Linked DNA regions of Danio rerio. The protein of the gene in region 4 binds, or shares a complex with, the protein of the main gene of each other region. Links are inferred from orthologs where the notes say so. Each region holds a gene or a part of one and is shown on either strand. Other genes may lie near its edges.

The links.
Region 1: taf10 (region 4) and taf7 share a complex: the UniProt entries of both Homo sapiens proteins name them as parts of the TFIID basal transcription factor complex. The link is inferred for Danio rerio from reciprocal best matches to the Homo sapiens genes TAF10 and TAF7.
Region 2: taf10 (region 4) and taf5 share a complex: the UniProt entries of both Homo sapiens proteins name them as parts of the TFIID basal transcription factor complex. The link is inferred for Danio rerio from reciprocal best matches to the Homo sapiens genes TAF10 and TAF5.
Region 3: taf10 (region 4) and taf11 share a complex: the UniProt entries of both Homo sapiens proteins name them as parts of the TFIID basal transcription factor complex. The link is inferred for Danio rerio from reciprocal best matches to the Homo sapiens genes TAF10 and TAF11.

The regions. Positions count from the first base shown.
Region 1 is NC_133189.1:45,463,621-45,468,778, reverse strand, and holds part of taf7 (transcription initiation factor TFIID subunit 7), read right to left. Parts: exon of another isoform or gene 4,176-5,158; intron 2,033-4,175; exon of another isoform or gene 1,597-2,032; intron 919-1,596; coding exon 806-918; intron 308-805; coding exon 248-307; intron 1-247. UniProt on the Homo sapiens protein: The TFIID basal transcription factor complex plays a major role in the initiation of RNA polymerase II (Pol II)-dependent transcription.
Region 2 is NC_133176.1:52,737,243-52,742,400, reverse strand, and holds part of taf5 (transcription initiation factor TFIID subunit 5), read right to left. Parts: intron 4,729-5,158; coding exon 4,599-4,728; intron 3,534-4,598; coding exon 3,369-3,533; intron 1,224-3,368; coding exon 1,046-1,223; intron 1-1,045. UniProt on the Homo sapiens protein: The TFIID basal transcription factor complex plays a major role in the initiation of RNA polymerase II (Pol II)-dependent transcription.
Region 3 is NC_133198.1:383,291-388,758, forward strand, and holds the end of taf11 (transcription initiation factor TFIID subunit 11), read left to right. Parts: intron 1-1,497; coding exon 1,498-1,594; intron 1,595-2,033; coding exon 2,034-2,164; 3' UTR 2,165-4,254; downstream 4,255-5,468. UniProt on the Homo sapiens protein: The TFIID basal transcription factor complex plays a major role in the initiation of RNA polymerase II (Pol II)-dependent transcription.
Region 4 is NC_133183.1:27,710,951-27,716,661, forward strand, and holds the start of taf10 (transcription initiation factor TFIID subunit 10), read right to left. Parts: upstream 3,953-5,711; 5' UTR 3,734-3,952; coding exon 3,616-3,733; intron 861-3,615; coding exon 703-860; intron 614-702; coding exon 549-613; intron 1-548. UniProt on the Homo sapiens protein: The TFIID basal transcription factor complex plays a major role in the initiation of RNA polymerase II (Pol II)-dependent transcription.

The DNA.
Region 1 (5,158 bases), on a different chromosome or scaffold from region 4:
TAAACACTGGAGATGAGTTCCTGTTTATTTAATAGATGGATATCTGTGGAGATTCATTAAAATGAAAGACTAAAAATCGTGTGCTGATTATATTAACTGAGCTGCATGATTCTATTTCACCACCACAGAATATATTTGTTTGATACTGGATTGCACTGCTTTCACTGCATGTTTCTGATTAGCAAAAAAAGGTTCATTTTCTTTTGTATCTGAATACATTGATCTCAAATTTCCATATCAAACTTACCTGTTCCATCTCTTGCTCCTCTTGACGAATCATACCATTCAAAAGTCCCTGAAAGCGATCCTGTAAGAGAAAAGAGAGAGACTTCATCTAGCTGACAGTACACTGACTTTACTGCTTGTACACGGATCTATTTGATTTATGACCCTGTGAATGGAGCTTAGATGTGCATGACCTTTTCCTGTCCAATGTGACTGTAATGACCAAGGACAAACTAAGCCAGTATAGTGACCACGGTCCAAACGAAGTGACACTGTTAAACCACATGTTCAACCCCATTTTACAGAGTCTAAATCCTCCTGATGGAGTGGTTGCCAGAGCAATGAATTTGACTCTTTTTTTTTTTTTTTTTTTTGTGAGTTACATAAAAACAGCTAAAGCAGAAATGCAATATTTATGCCTTAAAAAGATGCCAAAAACTTGTTTCCATGAGATTTATTCAAGTCCATTTTAAAGGTCTGTTCTGCACAAAAACTGTCACCAAAACATTGTGTTTACATGATGCAGAGTGCCAGAGAAAATAGCAAGCTACATCTTTTAGTGCAGGGAAGTGAAACTCACCCTCAGGGCTTGATTTTCCACCTCCATGATCAGTTTCTCCTGTTGCTTCTTGCGGGCACGTGTTTCCTGGAGCTTGGCCTTCAAATTGTTGATCTGCATCTGGTACTCCATTACTGTAGATCAAACAGAAATTGTAAGCTCTAGACATGAGCCGCAGTGAACATGCACACGCTTCAGTCATAGACTCTGGTGTCACACTGAGCTCTTTTACCTTTGAGAGCTTGTTAATCTGCAAATGCTTTTGCAATCTAAGATTCCAATTATCTGTGAATCCTTCACAGTGTAACCGCGCAACCCTTCAGGCTGCATAAATACTGAACCTCACCTCTTACATTCTGCACCCTTAGAGAGAATTCGAAAAGGTTATTTCCACTGAATGGACTGCACATCTGAATATGGAGAAAATAGCTTTGTGGATAATAGATAAGAACCGACTGATTATTTATCATAATCTTGGAGACTTTGGACATGACTTGCATTTTAACATGTAAACCATTTTAAAGCTTCTATTTTATCTAGAGAACACCATTCATTCATTCATTCATTTTCTTTTTGGCTTAGTCCCTTTATTAATCTGGGGTAGCCACAGCGGAATGAACCGGAAACTTATCCAGCATATGTTTTTACGCAGCGGATGCCCTTCCAGCTGCAACCAATCACTAGGAAACACATACACACTCACATACACTCATTCACTACGGTTAGTTTTTAACATACCCAATTCACCTGTAACGCATGTCTTTGGATTTGTGGGGCAAACAAGAGCACCCAGAGGAAACTCTCGCGAACACTGAAATCTAATAAGGGAGCCTAATGCCGAGTTCAGACAGCATGATTTTAGCCCCGATTTTTGACTCGCCGACAGTTTTTGAGAAATCTGAAATCACAGGTAAATCGGTGCTTGTTCACGTGAGTAACAATCACACAGTGTGAACTATCAAAAACGAGATCTGAGAGAATCACCATTTAGTCACCGACACCCATCAGATATTTGGCATGCTAAATATTTAGACCTGTCGGCGATTCAAAATCATACCCTGTGAAATGTGTTCTGATTGAAACATTTTCAGCGATTACCTACAGCCAATGAGAGAGCAGCATCCACTAATATAGGTATCTGCAGGTCAGCAGAAGGTTGGAGGAAACGTTAAAAGAGCTTCTTTTTAGTGTATTTGGAACTAAGAAATTGAGGAAAAACTAATGTAAATTTGGCAGGAGCACCTGTAACTGTTTGACATGCAGGGCTGATAGTGGAAAAAATTCCTGAGCCTGAACTTTTTTTCCTTGCCCCTGAGGTGAGTAGGGGTGGGGGTACTATGTATGCAACGCACTTTTAACACATAACTTGTGGGCCCCTGGGCCCAAATATATTAACAGCCTATGTGTAACCCTGATCATCATTATTGTCAAGTGGCTCTTTTTAGACACATGCCAGTAATGTCAGTGACACATGCCAGTGTCAGTGATCTTGTGACATGTGCTAGTAGGTGTCAGTATAAGCACGTTATAAGCACATTAATCTTATAAGTCTCTTTGCTTTAATATTTAAAAATCATTAGGCAAATGACAACTGTTATCTTACATGCATATATGTTATGAGTTTTCAACATGCATTTTATTATAACTTTTTAAAGGATATTATTTAAAATACCTTAAAATGAAAATAAGTTAAATAATAAAATAAATGAATGAATTAAAAACATAGAGAAGTCCATATTGTAGGGAACAAAGGAACTGCCAGGATGCAATAATATACAGTACAACAGATAAGTGTAACCCCTCCCATACATAAGCATGCCACAATAAATTTGACTGACATGTACTGTCAAATGACTATATTACGTACGGAAGTATGACTACGAATACATAAAATAAATGCGTTTAAATTAAAACATCGTGGAGTAGCTCAGCAAATAAACTAACTTGCGACGCGATAAATTAGGTTAAAAGTCGCGTAATGATTAAATATGGTTTTGCTCGTGTTAATTCATGTCATAAGCTTCACCGGGTGTCGATGTCACTGCAGTGACATGCAGCGCGACAGTCTGAGTCTGAGTGACACAGGTCACTACCATAGACTGTAAAATATAAGCTAAAACTCGCCCCAAGCACCGGCAAAAACAAATAATAATGAATGTGTCGAGGAAAGAGTAAGGACATATCTTAATTATTTATTAATAAACTTATTCTGAGTCAGTGTCGCAAAGATCCTGACTGGCAATCTCCTCTTGGACTCGCCTTTAGAAATTCATCTTTACGGATTACATGAAGGAGTTTTTTTGCTTTCGATTTGTTTTATTTTGTTAAGTAATAATTTAAAGCTTTCTATAAATATATTTATTATGTCTGTGAGGCATATACATTTTGCTTCATTTTGTTAAGCTCTCCTGTTCAAAAACCAGACGACAGAAAGCGCATAATTTTGGTTTTCTTTATTTTATAAAAACGCTGTAACGTTTTTTGATGTATTACTCGTACTTTGTGAGCAAAAATGACGGATAACTTTAAATTGCTCTCACTGAAAAAATGCAAGTGATTGCTCTGGCGCCTCGATGTCCTGCAAGCTTTTTATAAGCAAACTATGCGCCTAATAGCACACATTCTTTAACGTTTAAGCTACCATTGTTTTATACTTTAACTGTTTTATATCTTTTATTTTAGGCAAGTCGTGATGATCTGAGAAGGCAAACTGATCAAACAGACAATGATGGTCTTCCGCTGGGCGCTGTTCATTAAAAAAAAACAAAAAAAAAAAACTTATTTTTAACGAATAAAAAATGCTCCAAACGTTTTTCTAAATGAGCTGAATAAAAAACGAAACTAAATATAAACACTTTGCCATTAGGCTACATACAAAACTGAACTATTTCATAGCTGAAACACTAAGTTGTTTAAGGAGAAGGGGGAAATATATTTTTGTCCCGTCTATTGCTTCACCGTTATTTCGAGAATAAACCCAGCGTAAATATGCAGATGTCATTCCCAAAACATATCAGCGTATATGTGCCGAAAACGAAAGTTTCATACAAATTCTGAATGGATTATAGCCTGGAAAGTGCAAAGCAGCTCCTCTTATTATCACTAAAAAGCGTCACTAATCTTAGTTCATAGAGATCTCACAAAGATCCGTTATAATTTATAAAGCTCTCTAAATTACACAATTAATCTTTTATTTACATGGCGTCTACACTCAAAAGATGATTCACGAGCACACAAAATTGCACTTAATAAAATCCAATCCGGCGCTTTCAGCAGTGAGTGAATTCTGTGAATCTAGAGAAATGACAGATCAATATCCGTGAACCTGATTTTTTTTTTCCCCGCAGCCACAGTACACCGGAAATCCGGCGTGGTGCCGGAACGCTATCACCCCTGGACATGTCATCTGAGCAATACCACAACCGAAAAAATGAAGGGAAATTGCTAATTCTCCTTAAAACCCTGGTGAGCAAAATAAGTACATTCTTATTATATACTGTAGTTAAAAACAAAATATATACTATGTGACTTTGTGTTGTTTACATGTCACTTCTCACGTGTGTTTGGTTGTGATATATAGTTTGCAGACAAGGACAAAGTTGTCAGTGATACTTTGTTTTGTAAGGTCATGCATTGTGAACCGCAGTGGCCGATCCATCTTGCAGTGTAAACACAGCAGCGACTGAATGCTACCCCAGATAGTCATGCAGTGTGAAAACATCTCTCCCGTGACTACTTTGAAAATCGTCTGAACTCGGCATAATAAGAGTGCATTTTTTAGACATCAATGGCTCATTTGAACATGTCTGTGATGCAGTTAAAATGTAGACATTTTTATAAAGTTTTTATCATTTAAATGTATTATTTAAACCAGTTTAAAAATTCTTAAAGCTATAGTTGACCAAAAAACAAATCTTTTCTCACCCTGAAGTGGTTCCAAACCAAAGTTGATATATCTTCTGTTGAACACTACAGAATATATTTTGAAGAAAGCTGGTAACCTGTAACCATTGCCTTCCATAGTAGGAAAAACAAACACTAAGGAGGTCAATGGTTCCAGGTTTCCAGCTTTCTTTAAAATATCTTAATTTGTGTTCAACAAAAGAAAGTCTAACAGGTTTGGAACAAGCAAGGGACGAGTAAATGACAGAATTTCCAGTTTTGGATGAACGTTCTCTTTAAAATTTAGACCATTTAAGAGTTCACACTTAGCTGAGGATCGATTATAAAGCTTGTTTGGCATGCTGTCCTGGGAGAGAGCCCTGAGCTTATAAGATCCTCAAGCCCGGGGTTCCCTCTCATTTGCAAGGCGAGAGGGGAGTTTGAGCTCAGGTAGATCGCGAGAACTGCCCTGCTGTAGTAGCTAATGAACAG
Region 2 (5,158 bases), on a different chromosome or scaffold from region 4:
AACACCCTAGCAGCACCTTAGCAACCACTCAGAACACCATAGCAACTGCCTAGAAACACCTTAGCAACCACTCAGAAGACCCAAGCAACACTTTAGCAACCACTCAAAACACCATAGCAACACCTTAGCAACGAACTAGAACATCCAAGCAACCACCTAGCCACTAATCAAAACACCTTAGCAACCATTTAGAGCACTCTAGCAACCGCCTAGCAACACCTTAGCTACCAACTAGCAATGCCTAAGCAACTGGCTAGCAGCACCTTAGCAACCACTCAGAACACCATAGCAACTGGCTAGCAACCACTCAGAACACCCAAGCAACACCTTTGCATTGATCAAGCAACCAATCAGAACACCCTAGTAACCGCCTAGCAATGCACTAGCAACCACTTAGAACACCCTATCAACCACCCAGCAACACCTTAGCGACCACCTAGAGCACCCTAGCAATGCCTTAGCAACCACTCTGTTGACAGCTTAGCGACCACACTGAATACCCAAGCAACGGCCTAGCAACACATTAACAACTCTCTGAAACACCCTAGCACCCTTAGCAACCACCGATCAACCACTCAGAACACCTTAGCAACTGCCTAGCAACACCTTAAAAGTCAAAACACCATAGCAATGCCCTAGCAACCAGTCAGAACATCCTAGTAATACCTTAGCAACCACTCAGAACACCCTAGCACCACCAAGCAAGAAACATGCCGATCCATACTAGAAACATGCTAACATAAATGTACTGATCTGTCTATGCCAACTGCTTCAAACTTCTTAAACTACTTCAGTTATTCAATTTTTAAAACTACTTCAGACTTTCAGACGAGGCTTTCTCAAGCGGCTATAAAGATTGTCTACGAACTTTACTTTTCTAGTTAAATACTATGACATTAGCCCTACACAGATGCAAAACACAATGTAATGTTGAGGGGAAGCAGGCAAATTGAAATAAACTCTCAGAGACGGTGGTAAAATGTAATTAATATGATTTTCTTTGCAGTGCTGTCTTCATTCCAACATTTTTGGAAGCCTTAAATACCTTGTGACCTGTGAAAATGCGAACACAGTTTCCATTCAGGACGTCCCAGAGTCGTACGGTGCGGTCGGACGAGCCCGTGGCCACATAGTTGGAGTTGGGATGGAATCGTGTGCAGGTGACGTCTGCGAGATGACCAGCAAATATCCGTAAAGGCTGGTAATGATCCGTCGCCCAGAGCCTGACAAGCAAATCATGATATCAGATGAAGACAAACGTGGGTGGATTTGATTTTTACTTTCCTACAGCTTAGTCCCTTATTTATCAGGGGTTGCCACAGCGGAATAAACCGCTAACTACTCAGGCGTATGCTTTACGCAGATGCCCTTACAGCCGCAGCCAGTACTGAGTAAAACCCATACACACACACACACTCATACTGGTGATGGGAAGTTCGGATCATTTTACCGACTCAGATCTTCATCTCGTTCATCGAGATGAATGAATCCTTTTTCGTTCATTTGGTTCAATTTGCCAAAATATTATTAAAATGCTTATGAATTGCTTCCAAACACATCTACAACTAGCCCAAAAGGTTGATCACATGACAAATAAGTCATAAATAGAATACTATAAGAAGGAGAAAATAATAATTCAATGTTTACATGCTCTTTTGTCTATGAAGGTTTTGTTGTCTCTTTGGTCAGCTCACCTCTTCATGTCTTTAAATGTCAGTGGTTCGTTCACGTTACACTGATGCTGCGTTCACACCAGACGCGGCACGCGCGTCAAGCGCGAGTGATTTACATGTTAAGTCAATGCAAACGCGCGAATAGAACTCCTGCGGCGCGATACACGCGAATGGCGCGGCGCTAATGACGCAAATTGCGCGAATGACGCGGGGCGAATTGAGCGTTTTGCGCGTTTGACGCGCTTAACGAGCGTTTCTCGCGAATCTTTTGATTTTGAAAATCTGAACTTCAGCGTACATTCGCGCGCGTTAACCAATCAGACACTTGCTCTTGTGGGGGCGTGATTGTGACGTAGAACCTGTTGTCGTTGTTCCGAGGGAAATCCTCCAGCCTTCACCGACAACAGTTCATCAAACACGGCTTGGCTCAGTCAGAAGCACCGCTGAAAGCCTCCGTCATCCAGGTTAAGTTTCTGGAGGAGTTTATGAGCTCACAGAGCTGGATGCACCTCTGAAAGAATGTAATGGACTCAGACACGACCCTAAACATATCGACGCTGTTTTTCAGTCTTCATAAAGCACAAAAACACTGTTATTTTCTTCATAAAATCCATGTTAGCCATTTAGCTATGAAGCTAGAGTCTTCGGGCAGACAGAAGCCCTGCCCATCACGCGAATCCGCGTCTGTTTTGATGTGAATTTGACACGCGAAAGATGCGGGGTTTGACGCGCGCATGAAGCGAGTAAACTCAAATGTTCATGAGGCTATTTACGCGCGAATAGCACGATTTATCCGCACGTTCCGCGTCTGGTGTGAACACAGCATGACAGTCACATACATATAATCGTAACCAATGTTCACAGTCTGAGCCGATAGGAGCCATGACGATTAGTTCACCTTTCGAGTCTTCTGGTTTTTGAGTCGTTCGTTCATCACGTGACAGAATGACTCAAATCCGATAGAGGACTCGAGAGATGAACGGATCAATTCTTTTTCCGGCTCTAAACGCATATGATTGGCCCGTGAGGAACGAATGACTCAGACCCGATAGAGGACTCGAGAGATGAACAGATCAATTCTTTTTCCGGCTCTAAACGCATATGATTGGCCCGTGAGGAACGAATGACTCAGACTCGATAGAGGACTCGAGAGATGAACGGATTAATTCTTTTTCCGGCTCTAAACGCATATGATTGGCCTCTGCCTTTCTGCGATGAATGACTCAAAAGACTTGAAATAAACGATACCACCTGCACAAATGTGCGCACGCGCGGATGAACGAATCATTCCCTGAGAGGATTCGTAGTTCCCGAGTCATATTGAAGATTTGTTCAAAATGACCGAATCGTTCAAGAATGACCCATCACTAACTCATACACTACGGCCAATTTAGTCTACCCAGTTCACCAATAGCGCATGCCTTTCGACTGTAAGGGAAGCCGGAGCACCTGGAGGAAACCCACGCCAATACGGGGAGAACATGCAAACTCCACACAGAAATGCCAGTTGGCCCAGCCGAGGCTCAAACCAGCAACCTTCTTGCTGTAAGGCAACAGTGCTAACCACTGAGCCACTGTGACACCCAATAACAATTTTTTTTATAACATTGTTACTAGGGAGGGGCGATACCTATTATTTTCTCTCCAATCCGATACCAGGTATTTCAGGATAAGAGTAATGACAATCCACCTTACCTTGCCACTCTGTCATGTCCTCCAGACACAAAGTAGTAGCCGAATGGTGAGAACTGAGTGTCCCACACTGGATAATTGTGTCCTTTATACCCTACAAGACAAGTAAACGTCTGCAGGCTCCATAGTCGGATTGTACCGTCCTCAGAGCTGGACAACAGATAGTTCCTATGACACAGACAGAGATATTAAACCACACCCTACACTACCTGACAAAAGTCTTGTCATCGATTCCAGATGTAAGAGCAACAAATAACAACTTGACATCTAGTTGATCATTTGGAAAATTGCCATTTTTCCACATCTGTTGAACTGCATCCCAATCACCACAAATACTGGAGAAGACCTACTGGAACCAGCATGGAGCCAAGATTCTCATAGAAATCAGTCAAGTTTGGTAAAAGAAAACTCATGGTTTGGGGTTACATTCAGAATGGGGGCATATGAGAGATCTGCAGAGTGGATGGCAACATCAACAGCCTGAGGTATCAAGACATTTGTGTTGCCTATTACAAACCACAGGAGAGGGCAACTTCTTCAGCAGGATAGCGCTCCTTCTCAAACTTCAGCCTCCACATCAAAGATCCTGAAAGCAAAGAAGGTCAAGGTGCTCCAGGATTTGCCAGCCCAGTCACCAGACATGAACATTATTGAGCATGTCTGGGGTAACATGAAGGAGAAGGCATTGAAGATGAATCTAAAGAATCTTGATGAACTCTGCAAGGACACTTTCTTTGCCATTCCAGATGACTTTATTAATACGTTATTTGAGTCATTGCAGAGATGTATGGATGCAGTCCTCCAAGCTCATGGGAGTCTTACACAATATAAATTTTTTCTCCACTGCAACATGACTTTATATTCTATACTGTACATTATTTCTTTTAAGTGCCAAGACTTTTGTTTAGGTGAAGTCAGACCTTACTGTCCTAATTACATAATTAAAAATCAAGGTATGATCACATCTTATTTTGGTAAAATAAGCGTAATCTAGGGGCCTTTTCCTTTCATATAAGCTACTTCTGACACCAAATGATAAACTAGAAGTCAAGTTATTATTTGTTGTTCCTTAAACTTGGATAGACAACAAGACTTTTGTCAGGTAGTGTACAGCAGCTGAAAAAAAAGATAATAAATCATGCAAGAATATTTTTAGGGGTGGCAAACTCTGTTCTGATTTAAGTTCTGTCTAACTTATTTAACCATGAATTGTTCCTCTAATTTTCTTGATACCTGTCTGGGCTGAAGCTGACCCCATACACTGGCCCACTGTGACCATGGAGGATCTTAGACTCGCTGGACGTCTTCTCATCCATGATCCTCTCTAGAACATCATCTGACTCTTTATCAATCAAATTCAGGTCTAAAAAAAAAAAAAAAAAGAATGGTTGGCACTGAAGTGAAACAAGACATCATACATTAGATTTTATATACATTATATATACACACACACACACACACACACACACACACACACACACACACACACACACACACACACACACACACACACACACACACACACACACACACACACACACACACACACACACACACACACACACACACACACACACACACACACACACACACACACACACACACACACACACACACACACACACACACACACACACACACACACACATATATTGTTCAGAAACGCTAGTGTGGACGCGGATTGTTTTTGATCTAAAACGCCGTTTTAAAACTAAAACACACAAGTGTAAACAGGGCCTTAAGTTGCCAGCACAAGGGAACAGATCTCAGATAAAACTACAGTGTTTGAGGGT
Region 3 (5,468 bases), on a different chromosome or scaffold from region 4:
CTTAAAAAGAATTCAGAGTTGATCAATCTGTTTAGAGAAAGTATTAAAGTCTTTTACAGCTGGTAAATATTGTGTCTGTTTGGATTATTCAGTGTGTGGCTGTCTGCCTAAGTTTAATTTGTGAATATTGGGCAACATGGTGTTGCAGTGGGTAGCATAATCGCCTCACAGTAAGAAGGTCACTGGTTTGAGTCTTAGCTGGGTCAGTTGGTGTTTCTGTGTGGAGTTTGCATGTTCTCCCCGTGTTGGCGTGGGTTTCCTCCAGGTGCTCCAGTCCAAACACATGCGCTATAGGGGAACTGATTGTAGTGTATGCGTGTGTGTGTGTGTGAATGAGTGTGTATGGATGTTTCCCAGTGATGGGTTGCTGAATACATATGCTGAAAAAGTTGGCGGTTCATTCCGCTGTGGCGAGCCCTGATTAATAAAGGGACAAAGCTGAAAAGAAAATGGCAGCATTGTTATTCCTGCAAGAAGGTCTCTGGTTTGAGTCTCGGCTGGTTCAGTTGGGGCTTCTGTGTGGAGTTTGCATGTTCTCCCGGCATTCGTGTGGGTTTTCTTCAGGTGCTCCGGTTTCCCCCACAGTCCAAACACACGCGCTATAGGGGAATTGGGTGGGCTAAATTGTATGTAATGTGAATGAGTGTGTAAGAGTGTTTCCCAGATATGGGTTGCAGCTGGAAGGGCATCCGCTGCGTAAAACATATGCTGGATAAGTTGTCGGTTCATTCCACTGTGGCGACCCCGGATTAATAAAGAGACTAAGCTGAAAAGAAACTGAATGTTATTCCTGCTGGTCTACAGGCGCCCCCTGCTGGAAGTCCATCAATTCTTTCATATTGAGTGTGAGTGATGCATTAGTTTAGGCGCAGGCGTGTCATGTAGCATCATTTCACTGAAACAGATCATCATTTTTAATGATTCAGGCTGTTTTTATATCATTAACTGCCCACACTAATGTTGATTAAATCTTTGTGTGGATGATGATGAAAGAACAGTTGTAGCCTGTGATGGAGCAAATAAACAGATCACTCCCACCGTTCTGAATTATCTTGCATTGAAAAGCGAGTTAGCACCAGCTAAGACTCTTTAGTTATGCGTAACTGCACAGTCTGTGTTTGGTAACTATACTGTACGCTAAAATGTGCTCAATATTACTGGTTAGAACGAATCAATTCTTCAATCGAGAAGCGTTTTCTAGACAAGAATCAAACATTTTCAGAAATAATGAGTCAAAATGAAGTGAGTTTTTCATTAAAACAAGCAGAGTAATCTTGTGTCAAAAGGCAAAACAAGATTATTTCGCTCACTCCTTTGATTTGCAGACTGTTTTGCTTGTTTTAACTTCATTTTGACTCGTTTGTTTGTACAAGACGTGAGTTGAATGCACTATATACACCATTATACCTCAAAATAGCACAGAATAGTGCATGAGCGTGTGATTATCGATGCATCTTCTTTGTCTTGGAGTTAAACAGATTTCTTTCTGTCCTCCAGCTGATTCAGTCCATCACCGGATCATCGGTCTCTCAAAACGTGGTCATCGCCATGTCCGGAATCGCCAAAGTGTTTGCTGGAGAGATTGTTGAAGAAGGTTAGTGACACGCTGCTCTGCAGACACTCTTATTTGTCTTGTTTCTAGTCCAAAAGCTAAAGCTCAAACTCTTCACCTCAATCTGTGTTCAGTAAATGTGCTGTAAGATATAATGTGGTCAGTTCAAACTAACCATCAAGACTTTCAGACAGTGTGAGACTGATAACGGCAGCCAGAGGAGAGAATACTGTCAGATTACCTGTCCTGCATTACACACACCTCACACACACACGCGGGAGTTCAGTTACTGATGCGCAGATGACATAACGCATAGAGAAACACATATAAATGTGCACACCTTTACAAATATTCTTAATATTTAAAACGTTCACGTATTTAAGATGCTGATGAGCGTTAAACACATCATTACAGTGCTGTGAAGAGCTCCATGACGCTCTGCTGATCGTCTCCGTGATGCATTTCTCTTGCTTGTCTTCAGCTCTGGATGTGTGTGAGAAGTGGGGGGACACTCCACCTCTGCAGCCCAAACACATGAGGGAAGCCGTGCGGAGACTGAAGAGCCGAGAGCAGATTCCCAGCTCCAAACACAAACACATCCTCTTCCACTGAACAGCATCACGGAGAAACAGGACTGGACATCTCTCCGCTGTAAACAGTAATGATGATGTAGAAAAGAGGATTTGTTTTATTATTATTATTATTATTATTATGAAATACTTTGTTGCCTAATGTTGGTTTAGTTTTGATGCCGTGTGTGTTTTGGAAAGCACATCTAATGTTATCTCCTCATGTTTTGATGAAAGAATGTGAAATTAAATGTTTGTACTAAACCCTGCAGTTCTTCACTCTTATTAGGATGAGGATTATTTCAATATTAGGACTGGGTGAAGCAGACTCAGACTAAAAGGCAGCAAACATAAAGACATCAGGCAAAGAAAAGGAATCAGATGTCGGGTGGAGTGCGGCGTGTCCCACCCTACGTGACGTCACGCGACTCAGAACAAGCAGTGGTGTAATACAGTGGTGGGAGTCGCTTGGTGATTTAAAAAACTCAAATAAATGTTACTGAACTATTATGATGACCATATTTTATCCATAACCTACAGAAGATACAAATAGCCGTTTTTAATAGTAAACAACAACATGCAAATGATTAGCCCTCAGCCTTTACATGATCTTCACAGGATCAGTGTGTTTACATTGGATCATCCACACAGCACTCGCGTCAGCTGCAGCAGATTTTACAGCACCGCGATAAACTTTCTGACACCTTTATGGCACTGGAGTACATTAAAAATAACTACAGACCACAACTGAACACTGAGGATGATCTCTGAGTGCCGGTCTCCGAAATTAAACCAAGAATAGACTTGTGCTGAACACAGAGAGTGATATGCAATAAAAGCCCCGTCTACTCCATATTCAGTCTCAACTGAGAGCACATCAACACACTGAGATAAAAGCCTCGGCAGCTTCTGATTCACCATGACTTCTCAAGTCACCATGAGCCAGATGTTGCTGCATACTTTATTACGGTGAATGTAAGTGTTTCAGTAGTGTTGTGTGTGTGTGTCACCAATGGTTTGATGCTGAAATCTTGTGCGGTGTGTTGTTAGGAGCTAGGTACACTCAGAACACACTCCGTTTGTATATGAACACTCAGAGTTCCAGCGGTTTCATGAACAGCAGATTCTGGGACTTTTTAAAGCATTCATTTTAAATCAAGCACCTCCGCGCTTCACACTGCCAGCATATGCAGCGCCATGGAAGACCTCACTGTACCTAATATTTCACTCACACTTAATATTTACATTAAAATAGCAATGATCAGGATACATTCGTTCATTTTCCTTCAGCTGAGTCCCTTATTTATCAGGGGTCACCACAGCGGAATGAACTGTCAACTATTCCAGCATATGTTTTACACAGCGGATGGCCTTCCTGATGCAATCCAGTACTGGGAAACACCCATACACCCTCATTCACACACACACTCATACACTACGGCCAGTGTAGTTGATCAGTTCCCCTATAGCGCATGTGTTTGGACTGTGGGGGGAGTTCTTGTGTAAGATGTAAGTGTAAGGTTTATAAATGAAGAATTTCTCGTTTGTTTTTGGTTCATTTTCTGAAAGCAGAACAGCACAATTGTTGAAATAACATCATAAACGTTAAACTCAAGCACCTCTGTTTGTTTTTAAGCTCTTCCCATGCCTTGAATTCACATGTGTGAAACTTGAAGCACTTTCAAGACTCATGGGAACCCAGAACACTTGGTTTTATCAAAACATGCAACCGTTGTTTGATAAAAGAAATGCATTTTTAACCTTTAAGAAACATTTTATTGATAATAATCATTGATCTTGACATATTTCCACACAGTTATGGTTCACAGAACCAACAAAATATCAGCTTTGTTTGAATGTTTTGTTCCAGGTGGTGAGATAAAGCATGAGAGAAGACTAAAACACAGTAATGAAGCGATCACAGGTCTAAATAAACCTCAGAGAAGCAACACCATGAGGGAAAACCCCAACTCAGACTTACAGAAAACGTCCTGTAATCCTACATTTCCACACTTTCTGCTGCCCTAAACATTGATCTGCTCTAATTTACTATGACCTTTTATGTGAAGCTGCTTTGACACCATCTACATTGTAAAAGCGCTGTACAAATAAAAGTGAACTGAATTGAATTGATCTGGGCGACTAATCAGATTTTCTTCATCTCAGATGTTCTCTAGAAACTCGTTTTGACAGCTGTGTTTCCATCCTAACATGCAAATAGATGCAAATTATGCGCAAAACTGCAATATTGCTTAAAATATCCGTGAATAAATGTTAGCGGTTAAAAACTAAATCACATCACGCATACTGATGAAGCTCAGAGTTTATCTGCATTTATTCTCAGCAAATAAAACCTTTTATCCTGGTAATTATGCGCATATGTTTTATATGAATGTTTTCCAAATTTATAGACATCTTGGCATCTATATGAAGCACATTTTACGTTATAAGTGAAGTTTATTTATAAGCTAATTTCAGAGGATCTCGTGCTTATGATTGACCACAGCCGGTCCCTCATTATCCTGTTCATGATTGACCAATCAGACGATCCCTAAGTCACTACAAATACCCTGAGCTCCATATCACAGCCATCTTGGTTTTGAAGAGTCCCCCCTTCCACCCCTACAGTTTATGTGCATTTTTATTTTTATCAAATACAACCTTTTATCCTACTAGTTGTGCACATGTTTTTATGCACGTTTTCCAAGTTTATAGACATCTATATTAAGCTGTTTTTGCACAATAATCATTGCTGGATGGAAACACAGCTACTGCAGATTCACATTAGTTGATGAATCTGATGTTAATCTTCAAGTTGGTGTTAAAATGACCGACTTTGGTATCTAATCTGAGCAGATCTGTTCTGAAACATTAAACTAGTGTGAGCATTACTGAGAAATATTAACTAAACAATCATCCAACAAATCATTCAGTTCATCAGCGCACACACACACACACACGTCAATTTAGTACCAAACACACAGTTAAAAACAGCACAGTTAGTCAAATCAGAACAAACAGCACTCGCTCTGATCCCTCATCTACAGTTAAAGTCCTCAAATAAAGCTTCCACATTAATGATGATGATGATGATGATGCACTTGTGAGAGAATTCAAGTAAACTCATGCATAAAACACAGAGGTCGTTTTCTTCCATGCACTGAATGAAGTTGTTTTTGTATTATTAATTCTACACTAACATCTACTGAGAATGTCTTCATACGACTGTAACCCACAGGAGTCTGGAAGACACAAGAGTCTAAATACACCAACAGAGAGAGCTTAGTGTATCTGAACGCTACACATTTGACTGACAGCTGAAGCACAGACACGCTCCAGGTCTTAAA
Region 4 (5,711 bases):
AGCCATCTGGTCCTGCCCCCAGAGAGCCCCGATCAAAGACCCGTCCAACAACCCAGAAAAACGTTGGAACAACTTTTGGATAGTTTTAATTTTCCAGCTGATGAACATGACACCTAAATCGCATCTTTAAACAATTTAAGCAAAAATTCTGAGAAAATCTGAAATTATAAAATTATTACATGTTCACTTTACACATTTTATTTTACACACACTTTATTTTAAGGTACAATTCTCGCTGTTAACAACCCATTATCTAACACTTTTAGCTCAAACTACTCACTTGTTGCTTATTAATAGTTAGTAAGGTAGAAGTTGGGTTTAGGTATTGGGTAGGATTAGGGATGTAGAATAAGATCATACTTTAGAAGTACTAATAAACTGCCAATCTCTTAATAACAGGCAGCTAATAAGCCAGTAGTGAAATCGTGGAAACCGATAAATAAACTAAAGTATTAAGAGTTTTTGTTTATCTTTCATACATTTAAAGTGCTTTTATCATATTTGACCCAACAGCTTTCTGAGAGAAAGCTTTCTTATTCCGAACTCACATCCTTGGATCTGATGCTTCAAATCCAGCTCTGTTGAGATAGTATCCTGTAACTGCGTCTGGAATCTGAAGCACAGACAGTTTGTTAGCAGTACAACTCATAAAATATCATTAATAACCAAAGAATAAACTACAAATCACAAAAGGGAGCTCACTGTAGGAGTGTAATCCTCCAGCTGCATGAGGAAATCTGCCAGTGGTGTAGTTGAGATCACAGGCTTCACGTCTCCGTTGGCGATCTCTGTGGGCACATACACGCCGTTTGATACAGTGGAGTCGGAGGATGGGGTTGCCATGGAAGCCGAAGTAGACACTTTGAGGGCGGAAAGTAAGTATAACAGACAATTTAAGGCAATAAAACAACAATTGACATTACAGGCAACAATCAAAAGGCAGCTAAAACTTCTCTTTCATGAGCACTAAACTACAACCTAACAAAAAATTCTTCTTCTCATTCTTTCCTTAATCCCTCCCTACTTAAGTCTGCATTTAATAAAATTTCCATAGATTATTTTGCTAGCGCAGATTGTTAGTCTCAAAGTGAACGATTCATATGTGCAAGTTAATCCACTTAAGAGGAACAGTTTAATCTAAATCTGACCATCTGCTTCTGCTCTGTTATGGCAGTTCTTCTCTGATGACGTCAGTTTGACAGATTGGAGCAAAAGATGCTTAGCCACACCTCTTCAACCGTTAAGTTTGCCACAAGTGAAAGATGACAGGAGCACAAAAATAAAACCCGCCCACTGCTCAATATTTCAATTCAGTTGGAAATAGGTCATCACACTGAAATAAAAGTTTGCAACAACTTCCTGTTAATACAGGCATTAAAGTGGGCATTGGCTCTTTGTGATAAATCACAATACCCTTTCTCATTTGACAGTTGCTTTGGACAAAAGTTGGACAACTAAGTGTAAATAATTGAATTTATAATTAAATGTTTGTAGGTAAATGCTAAGCTCTCTGATCAGGGCTGGGTAGTAACTAGGCCCACATGGAATCTGTGTGCGCAGAAATCCACAGATTTCCACAGGGTTTTTTTTTGCCAAATTTATATATTTTATTATATATATATATATATATATATATATATTATTATTATTATTATTATTACATTTATTTCAGTAATATTATTGACCATATGAAAATGTTCATATGATTTATTTACAATACAGTTTGTAAAGTAATATTTCGTCTTTTAGTAGATTTTAGTAGACTTGCTTTGTTTACCAAATAAGTGCATCTAATTATTTAATTAAAAAATTAAATAAGTTAAAATTCCATATATTAAGTATTTAGTTAAGTTGCTTCCAAAATCTTTTTGCATAAATTCACACATTTTTTACTTCTGCGCAGAAACAGCAAAAAATGTCTGCAGATTCTGTCTGGCCGTGGTAATAACACATGATAACTATATTTTACATGATATAATTTTCAAATAAAACAGTAATATGTGACAGGATTACAATATAACAACTAATAGTTTTTTTTAATATGATGCAGCTTAAAGTGGCTTTATGAATTGTGTAAATAAATGCATTAAAACCACAAATTTTGTGAATTGGTCGCTCTTCATTTTCTTTAAGCACAGAGTCTGCCCCAGGAGTTTATGTTGACATTAAAATTTGGTATATTGTGAATTTACTGTTTAATAATGGAAAAGTATTTTAGTGTAAAGTGTAAATAGGAAGTGTAAGTAAACTAATTTTACTCATTTTAAAATAGAAACTATCACTCACATCTTACTATCTTTTTTTAATACTTAGTTTTTATGTATTTTTTTAGAAACATATAACCAGTGGGAACAAAACAAACTATAAAACATATAAACACACATACATAACAAGTATATACGTGTATATACACAAATACATCCATTCCACACAAGTATATCTATATGCATACATATATAAAAAACAGTAAATTAACCTCATCAAGAAAATAAATGAATAAAAAAGTACAAAACAAATATAATAAAAGGTTGACAAACATTCTCGCAATGATGCATAACCTCTAGAATTACGTAAACGTTAAATTATGGATAATTGTATTGCCGTTGTAGAGAAAGCCAGCCATCTCTTTTTCTATTTGTAATCATTTTTTCCATTTCTGTTATTATTTTGAGCGGATCTTCTTCATACCATTTCCAGGTTATAGCTTTTCTTACTTTTTGCCAATAATATTTTAAATAGATATCCAGCCTCCTTTTCAAGTTTAATAGTTATGTCCCCTAGATAAAGTACTTTGAATGATCTAGAAATATGAAGATCAAAAATATAATTAATGGCCGAGAGTAGTTTCTCAAAAACTGTTCATTCTTAAGCACTGCCAGGATATATGTGCATGATGTGCCTCTTCTACCCCCCACAGTTGTCTCACTACCTTTATACCTTAAAAGAAACAAATTTTACTTTCTTAAATCGATTTTTTAAAATAAATTGTCACTATTTGCACCTTGATTTGAAAATGTGATTGGCTTGTTTTTCAGTTGTTGTCTATACTACTATACCCGTTTTATGCTATTGCCCTTGAAAATTCACTGTTGTACTAATTGCAGTAAAAAAGAAAAGCAAGAGCACCCCAAGAAAGAAGACTTGAAGTTGACCATGTAATATTTAGCTGTAGTGAGGAAATGTCATGTAGGCCACATTGCACATTGCGTTTAAAATCACTTGGATTTCTGTGATCAACCCATTCTGTCAAATGTTTGTCTGCATGCCTAGGTGCTTGATTATAATACACCTGAATTCAATGGAGGGGTGTCCCAAAAACGTTGGTTTTTGCTGTAACGTTACCTCAGATCTGTGAAATGTTCATCTCTTTGACATGCGTTTGACAAGTTTTACAATATACGAGAAGTTTAAACGATTAGTTATCTGTTTGCTTCGTACAACTATTATTCAGGAGCAAAAATCTGCATTAAAACGTGAAATAAATAAAGTTGTGACTTTTTTGTGATAATTGGCGATAACAACTAATATAAAAAAAGCGATAAACTGTTATTATTTTCAAGTCACATCGCCCAGTAAAAAATGAGTGTTGTGGAAAAGACACACAGAGACACACACCATTGCTGCTGGCGAGCGCAGGGATGCTGCTGGCGTTTGTGGTGCTGCTGTTCGGGACGCAGTTGCTGCTGCTGGACGCCGCCGCTGCTGCTCCGGTCTGCGTGAGATCCACGTTCATTTTCCCGGCTTAGTTTATGTATTGCAAACGCTAAGCTATACTAGAAAAACACACACAGTTTAAACTAATGTTGGGTTGAGTCGAGCGCTCATTTATGCCGTTTAAACGGCGAAGTATCGGTCGCTCGCTCTGATGATAAAAATATTTACGCTGCAACTGCGTCAGGTGATCAACACTTCCGTGTGCAACCACTATGAAATCCCGCTTGGTGTTGGAAATCGTCAATGGTTCCGGATAAATCCCTTTTAGCTCACATTTATTATTTGTAGTATTGAATTTAAAGCGCAAACTTTGTCATACGTATTTGGCATTCAATATATAATTTGCAGTTCATCCAAAAGGAGAAAGAAGAAACATATTGCGTGTGTAGACCTAGACCGAGGACATTTTGCAACAGCTCCATCTAGTGATGGCGGTGAAGTGGGTTATTTCACACAAAGGAATGTCAGAAAACTTAAATATAGTTATAGTGTTCAAATTACACTTTAAGGTCTCTGTGACTGCAACTAATACACTTAAACCACAAAATAATCTTGTTATTAGCGTATCAATCTTACATGCTGTCATGTTACTCATGTTATCTTAAATAATATTAATAATTAAAATAAAATAGATTATACAAATATAAATTTGACCACCCCTATGGTTAAAGGCATAATCGCGCCAATCAGTCTTTGCAAGACTCATTCAACAGCGTGGATACTGTAGTGTTCGAGACAGTTCTCTTGTAAAATAGGTGTTTGTATAGTTTGAGTTACAGTAACCTCTAAAATAATAAGAGAATATTTAAATGTCTTTAGATGTCATTTAAAAAAAAAGGCTAAATTTGACAGAGTAATTTGCACTCTGAGTATTAGTATTAAATATATTATATATATTATAATAATATTGTAAGTATTATTATAATACTTTAATTAAAATTTGAATATATCATCTTATAGCCTGTCATTTAGAGTTTATTATTTCTAAAAATGGCTATTAAATCTTATGGCATTATTCATTCATTTTCTTTCAGCTTAGTCCCTTTATTCATCAGGGGTCGCCACAGCAAAATGAACCGCCAACTTATCCAGCCTATGTTTTACACAGCGCATGCCCTTCCAGCTGCATTCCAGTAGTGGGAAACATCAATATACCCTCAATCACACACATACACTACGACCAATTAAGTTTATTCAATTCACCTTAACTGCATGTGTTTGGACTGTGTGGGAAACCAGAGCTCTTTTGGAATTAATGAAATTTAAATAAATTCCTTAGAATGCCTGCTTAAATCCAGTCCAAAATAATAAATATTATTCTGAAAGGTTTCTAGAACAAACTTAAGTGTGTTAGATCTTGGAGGGGAAAATGTTATTAATTTCCTAAATGCTTTTTTTGGACACTAATATTAATTAATAGATAATTTAACAAAAGAAAAAAAAAATGTTTGGGTGTGTGAAAACACAAAGGTTTGTTCTCGTATTTTTAAACTCTTTCAAGCCAAAACACACCCTAACACAGTGTCACGAGTTGAACATAAAACTACAAAAATATTTTTAATAATTTGAAACTTAAGATTATTTTGTTATTAATATATTTACAATTTTTAATACAACTTTTATTGCTTTATTATTTGCCTGCATTTGATCATTTATTTTTATAAATCACAATAAGGTTTCTAAATCTACATCTTCGATTTAGATATATGGGTGGCACACATAACAGTAGTCACATCAATGACCAACATAAAATGTTTCCAAATTAAAAGCATTTTGTTTTATTGTCACAAGAATCATACACTTTAGTAACAAAATCAAAAATAAATGTGCATATAGAAGCCACATATCAATATGTATAAGCCTACGAGAGTATGATACCATAACCACCAGATTCGACTGACACAGACGCTGACAGTAAGGTACAGATATGGTCAGGATGGTTCAATGCCTTCTCAACCATTGTCAAGTCGCTGGAATGACGAACAAAAAGATAAAAA